Linked DNA regions of Schizosaccharomyces pombe. The protein of the gene in region 1 interacts with the protein of each later gene in a pairwise test. Each region holds a gene or a part of one and is shown in the gene's direction. Other genes may lie near its edges. The genes, in order: ntu1, gyp1, SPOM_SPAC30D11.14C and ntu2.

Evidence for each region.
Region 2: the proteins of ntu1 (region 1) and gyp1 interact in a two-hybrid assay, tested with the Schizosaccharomyces pombe proteins (one large-scale study listed by BioGRID).
Region 3: the proteins of ntu1 (region 1) and SPOM_SPAC30D11.14C interact in a two-hybrid assay, tested with the Schizosaccharomyces pombe proteins (one large-scale study listed by BioGRID).
Region 4: the proteins of ntu1 (region 1) and ntu2 interact in a two-hybrid assay, tested with the Schizosaccharomyces pombe proteins (one large-scale study listed by BioGRID).

The regions. Positions count from the first base shown.
Region 1 is NC_003423.3:4,241,745-4,247,977, forward strand, and holds ntu1 (regulatory protein ntu1), read left to right. Parts: upstream 1-2,000; 5' UTR 2,001-2,255; coding exon 2,256-2,345; exon of another isoform or gene 2,346-2,413; intron 2,414-2,615; coding exon 2,616-2,646; intron 2,647-2,753; coding exon 2,754-5,116; 3' UTR 5,117-5,682; downstream 5,683-6,233. Other genes in the region: DNA-binding forkhead transcription factor Fkh2, read right to left, coding at 1-114, 407-918; SPOM_SPBC16G5.17 (transcription factor), read left to right, coding at 6,074-6,233.
Region 2 is NC_003423.3:782,849-787,688, forward strand, and holds gyp1 (GTPase-activating protein Gyp1), read left to right. Parts: upstream 1-1,717; 5' UTR 1,718-2,264; coding exon 2,265-3,809; 3' UTR 3,810-4,297; downstream 4,298-4,840. Other genes in the region: SPOM_SPBC530.02 (transporter), read left to right, coding at 4,830-4,840. UniProt on the Schizosaccharomyces pombe protein: Stimulates specifically the GTPase activity of ypt1. Functions on the Golgi as a negative regulator of ypt1.
Region 3 is NC_003424.3:1,090,529-1,094,883, forward strand, and holds SPOM_SPAC30D11.14C (RNA-binding protein), read left to right. Parts: upstream 1-1,859; 5' UTR 1,860-1,912; coding exon 1,913-3,517; 3' UTR 3,518-3,851; downstream 3,852-4,355. Other genes in the region: tcd1 (Moeb/ThiF domain-containing protein), read left to right, coding at 201-1,607; small ubiquitin-like modifier-conjugating enzyme Hus5, read right to left, coding at 3,972-4,032, 4,088-4,167, 4,217-4,326.
Region 4 is NC_003423.3:804,051-809,962, forward strand, and holds ntu2 (membrane-tethered transcription factor), read left to right. Parts: upstream 1-2,024; 5' UTR 2,025-2,783; coding exon 2,784-5,231; 3' UTR 5,232-5,394; downstream 5,395-5,912. Other genes in the region: SPOM_SPBC530.07C (TENA/THI family protein, domain found in context with a broad range of enzymes), read right to left, coding at 315-1,043; mrl1 (cation-dependent mannose-6-phosphate cargo receptor), read right to left, coding at 5,475-5,600, 5,685-5,912.

The DNA.
Region 1 (6,233 bases):
GAAATTTCAGACTTTATAGCATCCTCCTTTATAGTGCTTTCGTCAGTTTGCTTTTGCTCAGCTGCATTGGGTAGTACGAACATCATTTGTAAACCCGCTACTTCGAGTATAGATCTAGTAGATAATTAGTAAGACGAAAAAGAAATAAAAAAAAATAATTGGCATAATTTCCTGCATTTATTTGAACTAGGACGGAAATAATTATTTTCTTGATAATTTGACAAATCCTTAACGCGCATTTATAAAATAACCAAACATTCGTTTAAAATTGACAAATAACACGAGAAAACCATAGAACTTATGAAAGAGTAAAGCATAAATTATGCGCTGCTGAAACCATCAATATTCCGTCCTGTCGCAAATCACGACGAACCAACACTATTCTAGTAAATGATTTTTAACATACCCACTTGTAAGCTTGACTGTTTCCCCATTCTTGAATAACTTGCCATCTACTTTAATGCCATTTCGACCGTAAACTGAGCAATTCCATGTTTGGTCATCCAAATCATATTCCACAACAGCGTGTTTTCGACTCACAACTTTAGAAGGACCAAAATTCATATCAATTACTTCTAAATCTTCATTTTTCCCCTTTGGTGAAGGATTTGCTGGTTCGCGACCAAGTATAATTCGAATTTTCTTAACATAATAAGTCCATGTACTTCCAGCGAATTTCGCATAAGCTTGTATTTCTCCAGAGTGTCTTTCCGCATTTTTACTGTTCGAATAATCATCGACCACTCTCATTTCGTGAGGTGGAACGGACAACTTCGCAATTTGGGATTCCAGGCGACCATTCAATACAATGTTACGATCTGTGTCTACATCCATTTGCTTTTTGTAATCTAACTGTTCTTTTCTCTCCTCGTCATCTGATATATGCTCAGACTTGCTTTCGAGTCTGCGAACAGTCATTTTTCCTTTCTACAGCAATTGTGCTGTTGGTGTGTGTTTATTTACACTCGTTTGTTGTTGTCAACATTCGTTTACCTTCCGTTGCCAGCGCTTCACGGTATAACTAATATTGACCATCATTTTAGATACATAGAAATTAAAATATACATTTTTCTAAATATTTGTACATTTTTTATTTTTGTCAACAATGCGTCTTTGTTATCGTTGCTATTTATATTTTTGTAAACAATCAAGATACCGGATCTTCGATATACTTTTTTAAATACTAAGCAGTTAAAAAAATCCTCTTAATATATTGGCGTAGGATTAACTTATAAAAAAAAAAAACTCAAACAATCATAACTCTGCAAGACTTGTAATAATTTTAGCTTTTCAGCACTCAGTGTTTTTTGCACATGTAATGGCGTCTAACGGTCGCGTGCATATCCTAGTAATTACCCTATTATTTAAAACGTGTCTACTGAAGATTTATTTTGAGAACTGTACAAGCTATTACATGAATACACTAAGAGTATTAATTGTGTTTTATGGAAATTCCGAATCATTATTTCGCTTTCAATCAACCGATTTTGTGTGGCTGCAATATTAACGCTCAACTGTTTACTCACGTTATTTTCCATATTTTTACTAACTACGCGATTCGCGAAGTCTCTGTAGGATACGTAATATTATTTGGTGAGTTCGTAGCGCACTATAATGTGTGGTACACAACAGAAAGTATTATGCAATATACAGTTACCGAACATAACTCAGGCACGGAGAGACTTTGATATTATAATAAATAATATGTGGCTTACATGAACAGACAAACTTGATCTTGAATGATCTTTATTTCCCATACTTTTTTCTTCAGTAATATTGAAAATAGTCAATAAACGGCTTGATGGTTCCAGCTTCAGGACTCATTGGAGAACTCACACGTGAAGATGTCAGGCTTATAACGATATTTAACATACCGCAACAAAAACATTTAGCATGGTATAATCTCATTGCTTCACCTACACATGTATGCTAACGTGAAGTAACGAGTAATTACTATTTAGCGGATGTATACGATCGCTGGCACACACTCTCGTAGGTTTAACCTGTCGCGTATATCATCCATAATCGCTTCGCAGCGATCACCATTTATTTATTTATTTACCTATCTAAAGCACCAAATTCCTTTAGTTTCAAAGCGTTAAATTTTGAATGATAAACTGCATTTTTGCTCACTTGCGTTAACTTTCGGTTGTAAAAACCGGTAACAACGATTCGATAAATACAAATTAAAAGACCTGTTCTCCCTCAAGTTTGAAGTTAGCAGGCTTCAACATAGTTTATTGATAGGCTGCTGAATGTCTTCCGGCGATGTATCTCGTAGACAGCGTGTTTCTAGAGCATGTGATGAATGTCACAGGAGAAAGATCAAATGTGATCAGAGAAGGGTAAGATGTCAATTTCTTTGCTCTATTTATGTTTTGCATAATTTTATTATTTGAGTTGGGAACTGAGAACTCACTTCACCCAGTTACCGCTTTCTCTGAAGTTGATTGTAGCTTGATTGATTTCAGTTCAGCTAGAGAGCATGCGGATAACCTTTGTCGTTAATTTATTATTTTTTTGGCTTTTATTGCTCTTTTTCTATCTTATTTGCATTAATTTGGATGAGCGATTAGAAATAAATATAAATTTCTGTTCTTTACTAACTTTTTCAGCCTTGCTCGAATTGCATAGCATATAACTATGGTAAGTGCCTACAATTTAGATGAGATTATTTTCTTCAAGTTTAGTCGCTTTAAAATTTATTTCAAGCCTCTATTATAATTGGATGGAGTTTTCTAACTTTGTTGAAGAATGTACTTATGGTCAACCTTTTAAGCGATTACGGCATGCTCCTGAGAAGTATATAGAATTTTTGGAGCTTCGATTGAAATATCTGAGGGGACTGGCTGAAGAAAGCGATCCAAATTTAAAGTTGCCATCATTTCTGGCTCCTCCAAATGACAAAGATTCTCCTGTGAACCAATCTCCTTGGAAACGCTCTGATTCCTCTAAAAGAAGCTCGTCACAGGACGAGTTTGAAAGCTTATTCGACCGGTATGGACAATTGAGTTTAAAAGATGATGGGAAAGCCGACTTTCGTGGAAGTTCCTCTGGCTTTGTCTTTATGAAAAATATACATCAAAACATTGCGAGGAATTCTACGGTTCCCAATCCTGTCCAAGAATCTAATTCATCTTCTTCTCAGCCAGATCCTTTATCTTTTCCGTATCTTCCACCCACCCCTGCCGAAGATGAACATAAAAAACCGCCTCTCAAAATTCAGCTACCTCCATATGAGGAGGCTCTTTCTATTGTTAGCCAATTTTTTATGAATGACCATTTTTTGGTACATATTCATCATCCTGCATCTTTCTTTGAGAAGATGCATATGTATTACAAAACTGGCAAGACTGATAACAATTTTCATTTTTTACTTGTCGCTACATTGTGCTTGGGTTACACCTATATGCCCGATGAATCTCCTAGTGCTAACTATCCTTATCATGAAGCTTACGAGTATTACTATTACATTCGGTCTTCATTTTCATGGGAAGATAGTTATACGATTGAAGTTGTGCAAATTTTATTGTCTGTTGCGCTTTTTGCTTTGTTCAGTTCCCGACTTTCTCAAGCTTATACGTTCACGAATAATGCGTTATTGTGTTGCCACGAATTGGGATTGCACAAGGATTTTTCAGACGTTCTCACATCTCATGAATCTCGGTTATCCAAACGGGTATTTTATTCTGTGTACGTTTTGGCTTGTTACACCAGTACAATTGTTGGTCTTCCTCTCAGTATTGAGGACGTTGATATTGATCAATCGTTACCCAATTCTTTTGATTTCACATTAGAAAATGACCAGGTTCCTCCACGATTAATAGCATCAGAATGCACTAGCTTGGAAGTTTTTATACAACACATAACGCTTTCTCGTATTTTAAGTCATTTTGTAAGGAAAGTGTATCCAGTCAAATCGCCCTCTGACTCACACTGTAAAGTTTCATTACCAGCTGTTCGTGATCATGAAGAAAAACTTACATATTGGTGGAAAAACTTACCTTCTTATTTAAAAATGAGCGAAGTTCCAAAATTTTCACCCAAATGGATCCAAGCAATAATACTGGAATTGAAATTCAGGCAAATAGAACTCATTTTCTATCGCCCTTTTATTCACAGTATTAGTACACCAATTGATAATCAGAATGGGTCGCCAATGAAACCTGCAAATTTTGCTTTAAAGTGTGCACAATCTGCGGAGCGTGTTGTTTTTTTGTTACAGGAATTGGCCAAATCTCCAAATACTCCCAAACTGTTTTTCAATTTGTATTCTGGATACTACGCGTTAATGACCTTGACATATTGTGCTACTTTGACGAAGGACGATGCCAATAAATCTAATAATTTCATAACTAAGGCAAGATTAGGATTTCATTGTCTACAAATGATATACCGCGAATCCACTTACTATAGTACAATAATGGAGGCAATCAAGAACTTGCTAATTGCGTATGATATGAACTCATCTGGTACTGAAAATTTGGATGCGACCCCGGATGTTACAGGACAACTACCAAACAACTTTTCGCAGAGAACTAGTAATATACCTAGAGAGTTTCCGCAAGCACAAATATTTTATTCAGATGCTCCTTACCCAGGTTACTATAATCCTGCCCAGTTTCAAAATGCACCAACAAATTTCCCTATGCCTACGTATGGTGGGCGTACACAGGATCAATCTTATCCTAGACAAAACGGATATCCTTCCTATTCTGATGGTAATGTATACCCTCATGATAGGGTTATGATTAATTATGGTTCTTCAATGCCAACAGCGAATGGTTTTTATGTTCCGAACACCTATTCTCCAGTACCTTTCCCGTATAATACTTCATACCCTCCATACATGAGTCCAACTTCGAATATGCCTCAGGCTTTCCAAGCATATTCACAGTATCCTTACCAGCACCCGCCTTTTCCCTTGTCAGAACAAATGCTACCACTGCCTACTTCAGGGGTTATGATGGCACCTGGAGCTGCAAAATCTGGCATGCCGTATCCCTTCATTCAACCACCTTCCATGACTAACCAAGTTGCTTATCCTACTGTCCGAGATGGTTCTAATAATTCTCCTGACCATCCAAGTTCCTCAAACTCTAAAAGAACCGAGTGAGCGATCAATGTTGTTAAGCATAGAAACTCACTTTTGTTTTCAAAATTTTTTTTTCTGCAATAATTCTTGCTTCACTTTTTATCTTTAATAAGGGTTCTAGCTCCAACTTTTAGGGTTTGCTCATGAGAAAAAACATTGACATTTTTAAAAAACTTATTTTTTGTTCCTTTTAATTAAGTGATATTTTGTTTGGTTGATGATTAGCTTTTTATGTTTATTGAATAATAGAACGATTGAATATCTAGATTATCTGTCTTCCTAGATGTTTGTGATAGATTTGCTTTTTGATCTTTTGATCAAGCTTAGAGAGTTAGCCTACTGCTTCATGTCCATTAGCTAGTGATATTTACGCGCATTATTATCAGCAATGAATAACCAAGTAGTGTTAAAAGCTAAAAATTTTGGAGTAAAGTTACGTTGAAGTTCTACATTATAATGGATTACTGCAAAGCAATTGATGAACTAAAAACTTTAATAGTGTGCATTTTCTTTCACGATGGAATGTATAATTACTAAAATGACAATTAGCTGTTTATTTTGTAAGCAACTGCAAACCCAACTGTGGAACGTATTGTTGAGTACCTTTGGCATCTAGGCTAAAAAAATGATCCCTATAAAAATCTTCTAAATAAAAGCTCTGCGAAAAAAATGGTATCGAGATCTGATGCTTACACTGTATTTTAGACGTTGAAGAATTTAAATAATTAAGCCTGCACACTCAATATTTACCACCACACAACGTTGACACCGCCTTTGCATTCATAAAAATGTTTGCAGTAAAATATTAGTAGTCTCATCGATTCAATTGAAGCATAATCCCAGCTTAAAAGTTCGATGGTTATCAGGTTAATACTGAATGAAACCTTTAGTTTGTGCGTATAATTTTTTATGGTGAATTGTATTTTATAGAAATATCCAACTTTCTACTACAGAAGAAATACCGTAATTAGGTAAATTATGGTTGGGAAATCTAAAAATAGGGCCCACAAAAATATTCGAGCTAGATCTTGTCTGAGATGCAGGCGCCGAAAAGTCAAATGTGACCGCCAATATCCTTGTTCTCGATGTAAAGAGAGTGAAGAATCATGTACATATGGAGTAAACGAGCAAGCAGTCC
Region 2 (4,840 bases), 3.5 Mb from region 1:
ACACATAGACTGTACTTGTCTATTTAATTTGTCTAACGTATTACATTCATAAAAAGCGCGTAAACGTGTTGAGTCTTATAGAAGTTGTTATGACTAGCAATTCAAGAACAAGTCTGATTCATAACATTATTTAACATTTCTTTATTCCATTTCATTTTATTCTTTCTCTATGTTAAAATTCTTGACTTTGCAATATAAACAGACAAATATGCACCAAGTAGCTTGTACAAATAGCTCCTAAACGATCTTTGAATGCATGAAGATAATATTCTATATACCAAGGATTTGAATACTTCACGATCTTACTGTATGAATATATAAACAATAAATAGAAAATTTCTAGTGAATCGACAGTACTCTGACTGATTATTAATTTTTTCTTTAAAATGTTTAAATATTCTACTTTAAACGTCTACGGCCATACCTAGGCGAAAACACCAGTTCCCGTCCGATCACTGCAGTTAAGCGTCTGAGGGCCTCGTTAGTACTATGGTTGGAGACAACATGGGAATCCGGGGTGCTGTAGGCTTCCTTTTATTCTTTTTGCTTTTTGTTTGAGCTCATTTGGGAATAATAATCATTTACCTTGATTCGTACTTATTCATTTCAATACCTTTGCACATAATATTATTGTGTACTATGAATGATATTTTGGCAACCAGGAAATCTTCTTACAAGTCGTAATACGACTTAAAGGGAAGATGTATGGTTTATTTTATTGTCATACAGTAACCTTTATTATTGGATTGGAGTTGTAGTTTCGATTTCATCACAATGAATAACGATACTCTAGAGTGTTTTCCAAGATGTAAACGAGAGAAGGAAAGTGTTTTTTGGATGATTATTAAACTTACTATAATTTTTGATTGTTCTCAATATAAAATTTATCTTAGTACATATTTATTTTGTTCTCATGTCAGTTTTGGAGAACATACATTACAATTTCTTGACAAGACAACATTTGGAAAATTGCTCTGTTCATTAAAACATTGAAAACCGTATATGTTTTTTAAATCATTCCTCTTCAATGCATTTGTTGAAGTAATTTTACTGAATCAAAGATATAAATACATGTTTGAAAACAAATACCCGAAACTGCTAAAAAAAAGACTGGGATTGAAAGTTAGACTAGATTCGTTGATCATCTACTTGAAAAATGTGTTTTGTTAGAAATATATAGGAACAGGAAAATCTTAGACTGTATTTCAGGAAAATTTAAACTTAGTAGGTATTAAAATGCTTATAATTCATCGTATTATATTAGGTAACTAGGATGTCAATACGAAAAATAACAATAAAATCAGAGATTCATTATTGACAGGAAATACTTTTTTACGTTTCTTAATCAACGTTTATACTTTTCTCTTTTTTGTTTTGAAAAGCGACTAGTCACAATTGTCAAAATTACATTGTTCACTTTTACTGGCAGCAACTTAAGTAAAGAAGAGATAGAACTCATAGATATAAACATTGTTAAATGAGACCTAGCTGTGTATCTTTTACTACTCTGCGCATATAAACCCAACATTCCCAAGCAATAAGACCATGCACGGCCAAAATCCTTCTATCAACTGTTCATGGCTTAAAACGAATTTCCTTTAACTAAAAAGTGAGATAAATAATTAAAGTATTAAACCTTGCTCCTTTTATTAAAAAAACCTCATATATAAGAAACTCCATACACCTACTGTTTTCCTCCCTATTGTTTTGTTCTTCCACCAAATAAGGGCAACTGCCTTGGCAACTGCACAGACCGAGTAAATCTTCACAATTTCGTTGATATTCGGTTAAAATTTGTAAATATACTAGTGTATTGGATTGTATCTAAGGTTTTCTCGAAACATTTGTTCGTGTTCAAATTCCGCGCTGTTCTAATAGATCACAAGATCTCGAGCTGGTGCGTTTTCGTTTGGATGGAACCCACAGACACGGCTTTGCTTCTAATAGCTTAAGTTTTTTTTTTTTGAAAATAGTTTTCATTTGATAAGAAAAGAATAAGACTTCAAGTCCGGTAAGTCTATGAGTGGTGCCTAAGATCCTTCGTCGTTAAACATTTGAAGTTATTGCCTTCTAAAACGTTTCATCTACTTTTTACAGCAAATTTTGAAACTGTTTTTTGCATCTTAACCAAAAGTATTTTATTTTGGCGATAAATTCAAAGAGTATCTGTTATTTGCTAAATTTGTTGTGTCCATCAAGGCTATCAAATTACTGCTTCATTTTGTAAAAACAATTTTTCTTCTCGTATTTTAAGATTTTCCACTATGGAATCTCAGTCAAAAAAGTCGTCCGCCTTAAAAACTCTCTCCAGCTTATGGAATGGATCCTCTAGCGCCACTTCGGATCCAGTTACTGTTTTGGATCGAAGCCGGACCCATCACCATCGTGGTCGAAGCACTTCTTCCAAAGCTCAACCGTTCAGATTGGACGACTCTGTTTACTCAGATCAACCCCCAAAAGATCATATCTCTTTGGCCCGGTCCATAACTAGACCCGAATCTGCTAGTGAGTCTAAAATCTATGCACCTTCTGCGAGATCTTCTCTTTCCTTGGAAGCTGTTGTAGGCAAAAAAGTGTCTGCAAAGTTTGCCAAATATTTGTCACAGACAGATGACGATTGGGGAGTTTCGAATATTAAAGCCTCAAAATCTCTTCCTCGTATGGCTCGAAGTACTACTCCAAATTCTTCAAGCCGCTCCTTATTTCCTCAAAATGGCGTGGATACTACCACTTCTAGACAAAAGCTTCATTCGTCTGGTCGTTTTCCTTTACCCGCTAAACTAGCCCATCGTTCTGTAGAAGTTGAGGTTGCTGAAAGCAATGCGCTTGTCTCTCGGATCAAGAAGTTTTCGCGAATTCTTGATGCTCCAATTGTGGATTTAAATGCGCTTCGTACATTGGCTTGGAATGGAATTCCCTCCGAACATAGACCTATTGTCTGGAAATACTTGTTAGGATATTTACCTTGTAATGCTTCTCGTCGTGAAGTCACTTTAAAGCGAAAGAGAGACGAATATAACGCAGCAAAAGATTCCTGCTTTAATACAAATACAGAGCCACCACCTTTGGATCAAACTATTTGGCGACAAATTGTCCTTGACGTTCCGAGGACGAACCCCTCTATTCTTCTTTACCAAAACCCATTGACGCAGCGTATGCTTGAGCGTATTTTATATGTTTGGGCCTCACGGCACCCAGCCAGCGGATATGTACAAGGCATCAGCGATTTAGTTACTCCTTTTATTCAGGTGTTTTTGTCCGAATATATCGGCGATAAGGACCCAATGACATATGACATTGCTCTTCTTGATGAAACTAATCGTAATGATATTGAGGCTGATGCTTACTGGTGTCTTTCTAAATTGTTAGATGGTATCCAAGATAACTATATACATGCACAGCCTGGAATCCGTCGACAGGTGAATAATCTGCGAGAGCTTACTTTACGTATAGATGAGCCATTAGTAAAACATCTTCAAATGGAGGGTGTTGATTTCCTTCAGTTTAGTTTTCGCTGGATGAACTGTCTTTTAATGCGCGAGCTTAGTATTTCGAATATCATTCGGATGTGGGATACATACATGGCGGAAGGTGTCCAAGGATTTTCTGAGTTTCACCTCTACGTATGTGCTGCATTTTTAGTGAAATGGTCGAGTGAATTACAAAAGATGGAATTTCAGGATATATTAATTTTTCTGCAGTCTATTCCGACAAAAGATTGGAGCACAAAGGATATCGAAATTTTACTATCTGAAGCTTTCCTATGGAAATCATTGTACAGTGGAGCTGGTGCACATTTGAAAAGGTAAGGCATAGTAGCCATTTCGTTTTCCCTTTTCAGAGCATTCGTCTTCTTCCTTAATCCCTTGCTTATTTTGGCATAGCAGCCTTTTTCAAATGCCATCCTTCCTATGCATTTTTATAATTAGGTTGACAAATCTCCTTCGTTAATTCATTGTGTTGCTTTTCTATGTTTATGAGCTTATGAGTCTAAGTCTTACTTCTTCTAATAAATTTTCCTTTCATTCACCTAAATAACTTTTCAAGTTTGCTCCTTAACTCAGCTGGATTGAGTTTGCGACTTTTAGAATTTATCATGCAGGATAAAGTATTTCTCTTGAAGAAAGTCTGAACTACCTTAATCATTTTTGGGAAGTTATTAACCCTTGAATTAAATTGTATATTCACTATTACTTATATGTAATTTGTCTTTACTCTTACGTTCGACCGTTCTCTAACCCTTTTCCAGTTTGACTTACGTTACTACTTTACTATTCAACGATTGTTTAGTCCATGGCGTGATACTTTACATGAATCGTTATTAATATCATTTTTTTTTCTCTTCTATGCTAGTCATGTTTTCTTTGGTTTTATCCAAGATTGTACATTACGATTTCAAAGTACGACTTTTGTATTGGTAAGAGATGATGAAAATCGACAAGACTGTACTACATGGTCTGTGTCTTCTTCCTTGATTCGACCAAAATGTATGGATGAATTAGAGTAGATAATGAAAACGCTGTGACAATTTTTGAATATTTATACAACTTAATACAGTTTTTGAACTGAAATAAAGAAGCACGTTCCATTGCGTTATAGAATCATTGTATTACTTTTCATGAAGAAGAAATCATTTATTTATAACTATAGGATCAATTTCTTATCTTTTAAATTTCAATACTCATAGCTTTTTCATGCTGATTTTGCAACTGCTTACCACAACAGCATTTGCAGTGACTGTTTTTCAAACTATATTTACTATATAAGGGAGACTTTGCCTATTACCTCTACGTCTGGCTTAGGAGCGCAAATTAAGCGATAAGAAAGAAATGGATCTGTA
Region 3 (4,355 bases), on another chromosome or scaffold:
ATCAGCATAGAGACAAACACGACTTGTTTTTATTTCATTAAATTGAATAATGTAAATGCCGTTTTCTAATACCTTAATCATTATAGGCTGCAATTACTGTTGCAAAGACCGATTGCACTAATGTTAAGGCAACTTGTCACTTAAAGAAAATGGAAACGCTGCAAGTCGAAGTTTTCTTTCTATTTGATTTTACTAGCATTATGGCAGGTTTCAAAGTCCCTTCGTGGATAACGTATAAATCCTTTTGGATTGCTGTCTCCTCTTCTGTAACGACAGCATGCGTAATCCTTGGAACGTTGGAGTTTCGTAAACATCGCTCAATTCGTCGCTTACAGTCGATGATTGTTCCTGAAGCTGGTAAAAGTATTCAACTTTCTTCTTCTGGTGTACCTATAGAAATTTATGATGCTGGGGAAGAGGATGAAGGAATAAGCAAAGGCGTTCCGTACGATGAAAATCTGATACGTGAACAGCTGGCTCGAAATTATGCATTTTTTGGAGAAGACGGTATGGAGCGTCTGCGCAACTCTTTTGTTATCGTCGTAGGCTGTGGTGGTGTTGGAAGCTGGGTGATTAATATGCTTGCACGCTCTGGTGTGCAAAAAATTAGAATTGTCGATTTTGATCAAGTATCTCTTAGTAGCCTAAATCGTCATTCCATAGCCACGTTGCAAGATGTTGGTACTCCAAAGACTCTTGCTATAAAAAAGGCGATTAAAAAATTTGCCCCTTGGATTGAAGTAGATGCTCGTAACGCACTTTTCAATCCCGACTCCGCCGACGATCTTTTGTCTGGCAATCCTGATTTTGTAATCGACGCTATAGATAACATCCAAACTAAAGTTGATTTATTAAGTTATTGCTACAACCACAAACTTCCCGTAATTGCTTCTACCGGGTCTGCATGCAAATCTGATCCGACTCGTGTTAACATAGCAGATATATCAGCTACTTCTGAAGATCCTTTATCAAGAGCTACTCGTCGTAGGTTGCGTCTCCTTGGTATTATGGAAGGTATTCCTGTCGTATTTTCTACTGAAAAACCAGATCCTAGAAAAGCAAGTTTGTTACCTCTCTCTGAGGAAGAGTTTGAAAAAGGAGACGTTGATGAGTTGAGTGCTTTACCCGAATTCCGTGCTCGTATTCTTCCTGTAATAGGACCTATGCCTGGTATTTTTGGACTTACAATTGCTACTTATGTTTTGACTTCTATTGCTAAATACCCTATGGATCCCATTTCTACCATGACGCGTCCTCGCTTATACGAAGAGGCTGTTAAACGTTTACATGCTGAAGCTCGCAAAGCTGGAGTAAACCTAGATAAAACTTTTAATGCATCTGAGATGTCATATATCATTGAGGAGGTTTACGTTGGTAGAAGCGCTCTTCCCCCGCATGAGTCTCAAAAAGTCACTGTTGTTCGATGGAACCCACAATTACCTTTTGATCACACCAATCTTGTAGCTATGACACGGAACGAAGCTCGCTATCATGAAGATAATGTCTTAGCAAAGAATGTGGATCCTTCTACAGTATATGGCAAGGATGTAATTGAGGTTGTTCACAGTTTTCTAAGGCGATTACGAATGTGGGAAATGCTTTATTGAAAAACTTGTCACTATAATTGAGTTTATTCTTCTGATAGAATTTGTTTTCAGAGCAGTACAAATAGGTAATTTAAGCCTTTGCTGACTGCATGTATTATAAATAGATAAATAAACAAACAAATAAATAAATATATATATATATATGAAATTGCCATTTGCTCAAACATGTAAAACATCCACCATACATTTGTCTTAAAAAATTATTATATAACGTGCTTCGTTCAACCTCCTTCTTTGACTTTTTCGTATAAGCACTACTTCTACTATGTCCACACAGTTTGCGTATATAGCTAAAGTTAAGTTTCATGTCTGATTCAAGACAAAATTCCCAACGGGAAGATAATTATTCTCGGGATAGACGATCTAGGTTTACGGAGGATTCGTATAGTAGAAGAGATTCACAGCGGTCGGGCAATGAGGCACCCCGAGAATCAAGATATTATCGCAAAGAAGAACACCTTCAAGAGCGTTCTCGAAGTCGAAGTCCTGCTAGAGATTCAAGATGGAAATCTTCTTCATCAGGTTTTGCCCCAGCGCATCCGCCAATCGAAGAACCGACAAACAATGGAGCTGAGGCAGCAGCTGCTGCCGCCAGACGGATCGCCGAATCATTACAAAGTACAAAAGCAACGTCCAGCAGGACTTCATATGATCATTCAGAAGGGATAACCTCAACGACATCTGCGTCACCTCCAAGTGCACCTGCTCCTCCACTTCCTCCAAGTTCTGAGGGACCCGCAGTTGATATTCCTCCGTCTATGGCCGATATTACTAGCAAGGTTATAGAAGGGGACGGTGTCTTTATGCAGGATGTTGAAATTAACAATGTGCGTAATCGCTACATTTTGGTGCGTGCCTCAACCCTTTCTGAGATCGAGAATAAAAGTGGCGTGCAATTATTTTCCAAAGGACGATATTATCCAAATAAAGCTTTAGCTACTGACAAGGATCCTCCACTCTATCTCCACATAGTATCGCATAACAGGAAAGATCTAACGGTTGCCCTGCAGGAAATTGAATCTTGGATTAATAAAGACATGGGTCCTTTAATCGACGAGCGAAGATTTCGCCGCCGAGAAGATAATGAAAGGAATAACTCTAACTCGCCTCGTAATTTTTCAACGCATGGCAATGGTAATGGGGAAAACGGTCAACCGCGACGAAAGTGGCTAGAAGAAAAAGTATATATTAATTTAACTCCAAGTCGTGGATTTCATTTACGTCAAGCAATTGTTGGCCCACAGGGAGCATATGTAAAGCATATACAACAGGAAACTCGCACCCGTGTTCAGATTAAAGGGCAAGGTTCTGCTTTCATAGAGCCATCGACAAACCGCGAATCAGACGAACCTATACATTTGTGCATCATGAGTCACGATCCTAATGCCATCCAAAGAGCTAAGGTTTTATGCGAGGATTTAATAGCCAGTGTCCACCAACAGTATAAAGCTTGGAAGTCACAACCAAAAGATCGTGATCAAAATCAAGGAAATCGTGCCTACAATCCACCAAACCGGAATCAGGCATTCTCCGCACGAGACTCACGACAAGAAAAAACTCAACCAACTAATGCTTCCCCTGCACCATTAGTAACACCATCGTTACCCGTACCATCTATTCCAGCTGTTCCAGGAATGGAAGCTATGGCAATGCCTCCTGGTGTCACTTCATCTATTGCAGTACCGACGACTTCTTCTATGCCTTTACAGGGTATGCCTACTATGTTTGGTGCTCCTGGAGTTAGTGCTCCTGGTACAGAAGCACCAGGGACTGGTACGCCTGGTTTAACTACTCCAGGAGTAGATCCGTACGCAGCTTATGGAGGATACAATGCGTATGTACAATATTATCAACAGCAAATTTATGCTCAAATGCATGGTGTCAGCGGTGATCAATCGCACCCACAGTAGATAGCGTTTGAGCATTACTAAAAAGAATGTTTATTGTTGATCATTAAAATACTATTTTTGGTTGCTTAATGTTCTGAAACCTTGATTGTGCTTATTAAAGTACATTCTACTGTCTTAGTTGTAAAAAAAAAACACTATATTTAAATAGTGACCATTTTTTGAGGGCATACAATTATTAAATTATAGTTTACTTTCTAATTGATTTAAAGGAATTTGTCGAGGTAAATTCTATCACTTAAGACGTGGTTGATTTAATGAACTTTTTAAAAAAAACATATTTAAATAATTAGTGGTATTATCTTGTATCAATCTTTTATCCTAACAAACAAAAAGCAACCGACTTGTGAAACCGCTAATAAGATTGAGATTTTATCTCAACTAGTCAAGCAAAGAAATATACACATCAGGAAAAATAATATTAAACAATAAAAAATAAGAAAAAGTACCAGTCAGTTTATGGAGCATTTTCACGAGCCTGAGCACGAACTCGTTTTTCGTACTCGACTTTATCCTTTCTAAACGAGGTTAATTATATTTGATGGTTGTGGAAACAGTAGTTATGATACTTACTTGAACATTGTATATGCTTCTGTTTGAGCGGGAGAGGCAATATTAGGATCATCTAAAAGATCCTGAATACCCAGCAAAATCTAGAAATGGTTAAAACCTGGAGATTAAGAAATTGATTTGAATTCTTACCTGCTTAATTGTAATTGCCGGTTTCCAGCCTTCTTCTTCATTAAGTATTGAGAGACAAACGGTGCCAGAAGGATAAACGTTTGGATGAAATAACGGTGGAGTAAACCTACCTGTACAAAAGCATTAGCAAAAAATCGTA
Region 4 (5,912 bases), 3.4 Mb from region 1:
GTTTTCAAGCGATTTGTGAACAACAATTTGTCATCATTTGGGAAGCTTTAAAAATTCATAGGACGATAAGCAAAAACGGACTGCATGCAGCGAAACTGAAGTTACAAATTTTTTACATAAATTATGTATGTAATGACTATGCTGACGAACACTTGTTCATTAATGTACTGACAAGATATATACACTGACTTTACACATTTAATCAAAAAAATTAAAAAAAGGAATCATTCGATTGACGATCAATGCTGATCAAAGGGCACGTAAAATAATGTGATATCAGAAAAAAGGAGTTAAAATGTTGTCAATTAATTCAACTAAGCCTTTTCAAACGCGGTACTGAAGAATCGATACTCAAAGTTGCAAATTTTCTTGGCAATGTCAACAGTAGCAGAGGTAAAAGGGACGTCTTGAATGCTGCGAGCCAGATTTTCTACAAACTTACCAAAAGAAGGCTGACCCCACCACTTGACAAATTCCATTTCTTCTGGGCAGTTTTTCTGGAATTGCTTAGATTCACGAACAAATTTCCATGCTCTATGGTATATTACTTCATTCAAGTAAAATGCCATAAAGTAGTCAATTCCAGAGGTACCTGGAATTTCGAAAAGCTCCTGAGTCATAAATTGAATATATGATTTACAATCTGGAGCAGAAAGATGATAGTATTCTTCAGGCTTGTTATCTTGCAACGCTTGTTCCCATGAAGTTGGGACGGGTTTGAGTTTGGGCATTTCCACGTTGCTCTCTTTGCATCTTGCCTCAAAATGAGCAAGCTCAGGAGTGATAACATTGTATGCACCCAAAAAAAGATCTAATGCTTCCTTGGGAAATCCCTTCTCATGAGTGATGGCGTTTATGGCTTTGGCAAGACACAACGAACAACCTTGAACATAAATTCGATCCTCGTATAGCCACCGTTTAAATGCGCCAGGAGGAGCAGTACCGTTAGCCAAACCTTCGATAAATGGGGACTTTGTCGCAGCAGTTTCGACTTGTTCCTCGATTCCGAGTTTCTTGATTATTGCAACTGTATAAGGATCCATTGGTAAGCAGATGAACTAAAACGAACAATGGATATGATTAAAAAAAAGAAAAAATCACTGTCTTAAAGTAGCTCCTTGGTTTGAAATTTTGATATAGTAGATCTGTAATAAGCAAATGAAATTATGGATGTGTGAAAATAGTAAAAAGTTTCAACACTAGCTTATTTTTTTTTACTTTGTTAAAAAAACATTTCCCAAATAACCAAATTTATATATATGTAGAAATTCGGCTAAAAGTTTCCAGGCCAGCTGGCCTCGCATTCAAATTTCCGGCTTCAAGTAAAGTACTTTAAACGCAAAATATCATGAGAAAAGTAGTTTGCTTAATTCAACCATGTACTGCAAATGACCTTAGAAAAAAGTACGCAAGCAACGTTAAAGGTAATTATCCAGAATACATTTAAGCGTTTAAGAGTTAGTAGATGACTATTAAATCAATGATCTGATAACTGCACGTCCTGAAATTCGATACAGTTAATCTCGATATTAAGCATACCAAAACTAATTATCTACATTCTTTTAAATTACTTTATGCTTTTCAATATCACTTCTTCCCTTGGTTTTTCGGCACTAGCCCAAAGAAAAGAAATTTTGATATGATGAGCTTATTTAGAACCAACAAATTGCACATCAGAATATAATATTACTATATTCTCTTATAAATAAGCCTATATACGATAATTGGCTCTTGGTACCGAAAAGTAATCCGTGCTTTTCTTGAGCTTTACCAACACATCTTTACTTTCTTTTCTTCTACATTTTATAATCTATCTCTCTTACAAAAACTACGGATGGCTTAGATGTCGGGTGTGCACCGACTTTCGGCTATACTGAGCTTTGGGTTTCGCCCATGCTGTGCTTATTCCAGTGCCGGGGGGATAGTTCCTTCAAGGTGACAAACCTTGTGTTACCCGCTTTCGTTAAAATACCACCTTAAAATCAGCGAGGTTTCACTATTTGCCATTCAAAAATAATCTTACCGACAACGTACCTCTCCAGGCCCAATCCTCGCGAGCCGAAGGAAAGCGAATCTTGCATACGTTTAAGCCGTATCTGAATGCGTTCTGAAGAAATAATCGATAATAACGGAACTAGAGTTGCTCACCTGGCATACCGGTTAGATTGCAGAAATTTGTTCTAGCACCCGTTTGAATGCGTTGAGTTAGTACGATAGACCGGATTGTTGACGGAGTTTATTGTGTATTCATTATTTTTGAATTTTGGTTTTCACTTCTTTTTTCATTTACTTTGTAATTTTGCTAAAACGAATTGAATTTCATCGATACTGTTATTATTTCCTTGTCCGCTTGCATTATTAGAGATCACTTTGACTTGATTATAAATTCGTAATTGTTTCAAGGATATACACCGCTGGTATACCTGCTGTAAAACTTTTATTTAATTTCCATATTTTTGTTAATTTGGTTATCCCTTGTAGATCAACCAACCTCTCTTCATTCACACATTAATTTTCAATTTCTTCACTCTTCCTTCTTTTTGGATAGTGTCCCATCCCCTTTATTCTTAATTGCATAACTCTGTTGATCTGCCCCCATTGAACTTCACCTTTTTCAATAATACTTTGCCATCGTTCTCTATACCGTACAAAGTCTCTGTCTGTGGCTCATATTTCTCCAACTACATCTCCCGTGTTGACGTTTCTTTTTACTACTTGAAAAAGTTTTTTTTTATATTTCGCTCTTTATTTACATTTTTTGTTTATTAAAAGGATGTCCCAAAATGGATAATGAATCTCATAGTCAGGAAACCGAAAGCAAGATTCTTGAAGGCGCCAAAGTGGCTACCCGACGACGACGTGTCACTCGGGCTTGTGATATGTGTCGTCGTAAAAAAATCAAGTGTGATGGTTTGCGTCCTTGTAAGAATTGCAAAGCTGGCAAATTAGAGTGTACTTATCACATGCCTTCCTCTCGAAAGTCCTCATTTTCGCCCGAGTATGTGGAAAATTTGGAATCCCGCGTTCGGTATTTGGAAACGCTGTTGAAGAAAAATACAAACTTTGATCTCTCCTCTAACTCACCCAGTTTCCTCTTCTTTTTGAGGGAACAAAAATTTCAAGCCACTAACGAGCTTGAAAACATGTCACCAGAACGAAAGGTAATCTTTACTTCCATGATTAATTATGGCAATTTGTTCGTTGACGCGAAGCATGGAACTAGATATTTTCGTGGTGGTTCTTCAATTCACGTCCTCATCCAACATCTTATTCGACGCTTACCCGGCGATTTCGAAATATGTGAGCCTTACTCAGCCTACCCTTTGGGCAATAAAAATATTCAATTCGATGATAATGATCCTGAATACCAATTCTTTACTCCTACTCCTAGATTCAGCATCGACTTTATGGTGTCTAGCGTTGATCCTCGTGAGATTCAGCTCCCAGGAATTGAAGAGGCCTTGTGTATCACTAAAGCCGCTGTTAGCTACGTTAGCGGTATCGTTTTTTATACGACCTATGCCGATTTCCCCAAAAAGATTCGTCTTTTATATTCCGGTAATTATCAAGGCAACTTTTTTCCACTATTTTTATCTATTTTGTGTGTAGGTTACTATCATCATCTTCTTAATAACCCCAGTAACACCGAGTTACAAAGTTTAATCAAAAAGTACAGTTTTTACAGCGAACGATTAGTGAAATCCGCGGATAACTTTACTATTGAAAGCATCCAATGTCTCTTAATTCTTAGTATTTATCGGTATTGCCGAACCGAAATTAGCGCTGCCTGGTATTACATGAAACTAGGTTTGAATTGCTGTCTTAGGTTAGGTCTACATAGAAATATTACAGAAGGATTTACGGAGGAACAAATTGATAGCAGAAGACGTATTTTCTGGGCAATTTACTGTTATGACCGGCAGTTGTGTACTTTGTTTGGATTTCCGTTGGGTGTTCGTGATGAAGACATTGATCAGTGTTTACCTGTAACACCAAAGTTCCCATCGGTAACGGAAATTGAAGCAAACGCACGATTGTTTTTCTTTCATGGTGTGAAGCTTTACAAGATTTCAAGTCGTATATTGACCAAGCTATATTCCCCAAATTCACGAAACGTAACAAAGAAGCACATTTCATATGCTGTAATCCAAGATTTGGAGCAACTATTGGATGGTTTTTACAATTCTCTTCCCCGAGTTTTTAGGGCCGAGCAACCTGGAGAATTTCAGGCAAATCATTTTTTCTACAACTTACAGTTGGTGTATTATTCTTTTAGAATGTTAATCTACCGACCTCTCCTACATTACCTTGAAGCTGACAGTCCAGCAATGCAAGCACTTAAGGTGCCAGATCGACAAACCGCCTTCACTTTGGCGTGTAAATGCGTCGACTCTGCTATTGTATGTGTTCAAAATTTAAGTCACCTTTCCAAGGGTCTTAAACGTACGTTAGACAGATATTACTGGACTACCGTTTATTGTGGATTTAGCACAATTGTTACACTTATTTTTGCAGCTCTTTTAACTAAAAATACCAACTTACTGATTCATATTTCTGTCGCCCGAGAATCAATAGAAGCATTGGCTCACGAATGCGTCACCAGAAGACTTTTACCATTGATTGACAAAATGAGAGAGTCACTCATGAAGATTCTCGAATCCAATGCGGATGGATATAAACAGATGTCACCAACAAAAGCTCCTCAAGTATTTGAATCGGAATCGAATGTTCCTATTAATAATGGGCCTCAACAATCGATAGATAAAGAGAGCAATTCTAACACTCAATTACCACAAGTTGAGACGGAGGGACAACAACAATCCGTTTTTGATGGAAACATAGGAACAATACCTTATCAAGCATACAACATGAATGAAGATTCTTTTATCGATATCAACACATTATCAAGCATGCTAAATTACCATACACAGGCTGTTTCAATCCATCACCCCTCGTTTTACATTTCACGCAGTGATGTACCATTGGAAGAAGAATTTCAGATCCCTAACGAACTGCTGGCAGTGGATCCTGTAGCAGAAAGTATGCAGGAAAATTCGGATATAATCAATGAAGCTTTTGGTTTAGTGGATCCTGATGTGTCTGACGGAAAATCCAGAGAGTCGAGTTCACTTAACAATAGCACACCCTTTAATCCGACTGTAAATATTGATCCTGCATCAATCTTGGAGCATTTTTCTCAAAACGTTATGAAAGACTCGCAAAATAGTTAAAATCTACACCATAATTATTCGTAATCAGGATTTACTTACGGCTTACATGGATAATATGAATAAATGTATATATACAATATTCCAAAAACAAAGCACGAAAATGTGACTTTGTAAACGACTGCTATTTAGATCTTTTGTTGAGTAACTATAATTTTTTTTTAATGAGTAGGGTAAAAATACTAGACTTAATGGGTAATGTCGAACAGTCTGGCAAGGTAGAAAATAGTTCCAACATATTTTTATTTACGTATCAATATCATCAATAAGCGCGTCCTCTACATAATCTATATTCCTCCTATTGCCTCTCATCCTCGTTATACTTGAGGGTAAAATCGAAAGAATGGAAGAATAAAGGATGATCACTATGTCCTAAATTATAACTGTTAGTAAATAAGGAAAAATAGAAAATTAGCTTTATTTATGAAATGGATAAACCAGATCATGCAAACATACCGAAATGAAACCAAATAGAGAGCGCCACATCTCATAATTGGGAATTTGGCGGAGTCCGCGTGCATTAAGTACTACCCTTTGATATACAAATCCTCCAACGAAGTAAGCTAAAAAGGCAATAGCACAGAACAGAAGGAATACAGATACAGGATTTAAGGTGGAGTCCTTCTTCACTGTTGGGCAAGCATGAATCGTTTTCCATTCAAAGAAGAAAGCGCAATCGTTCAG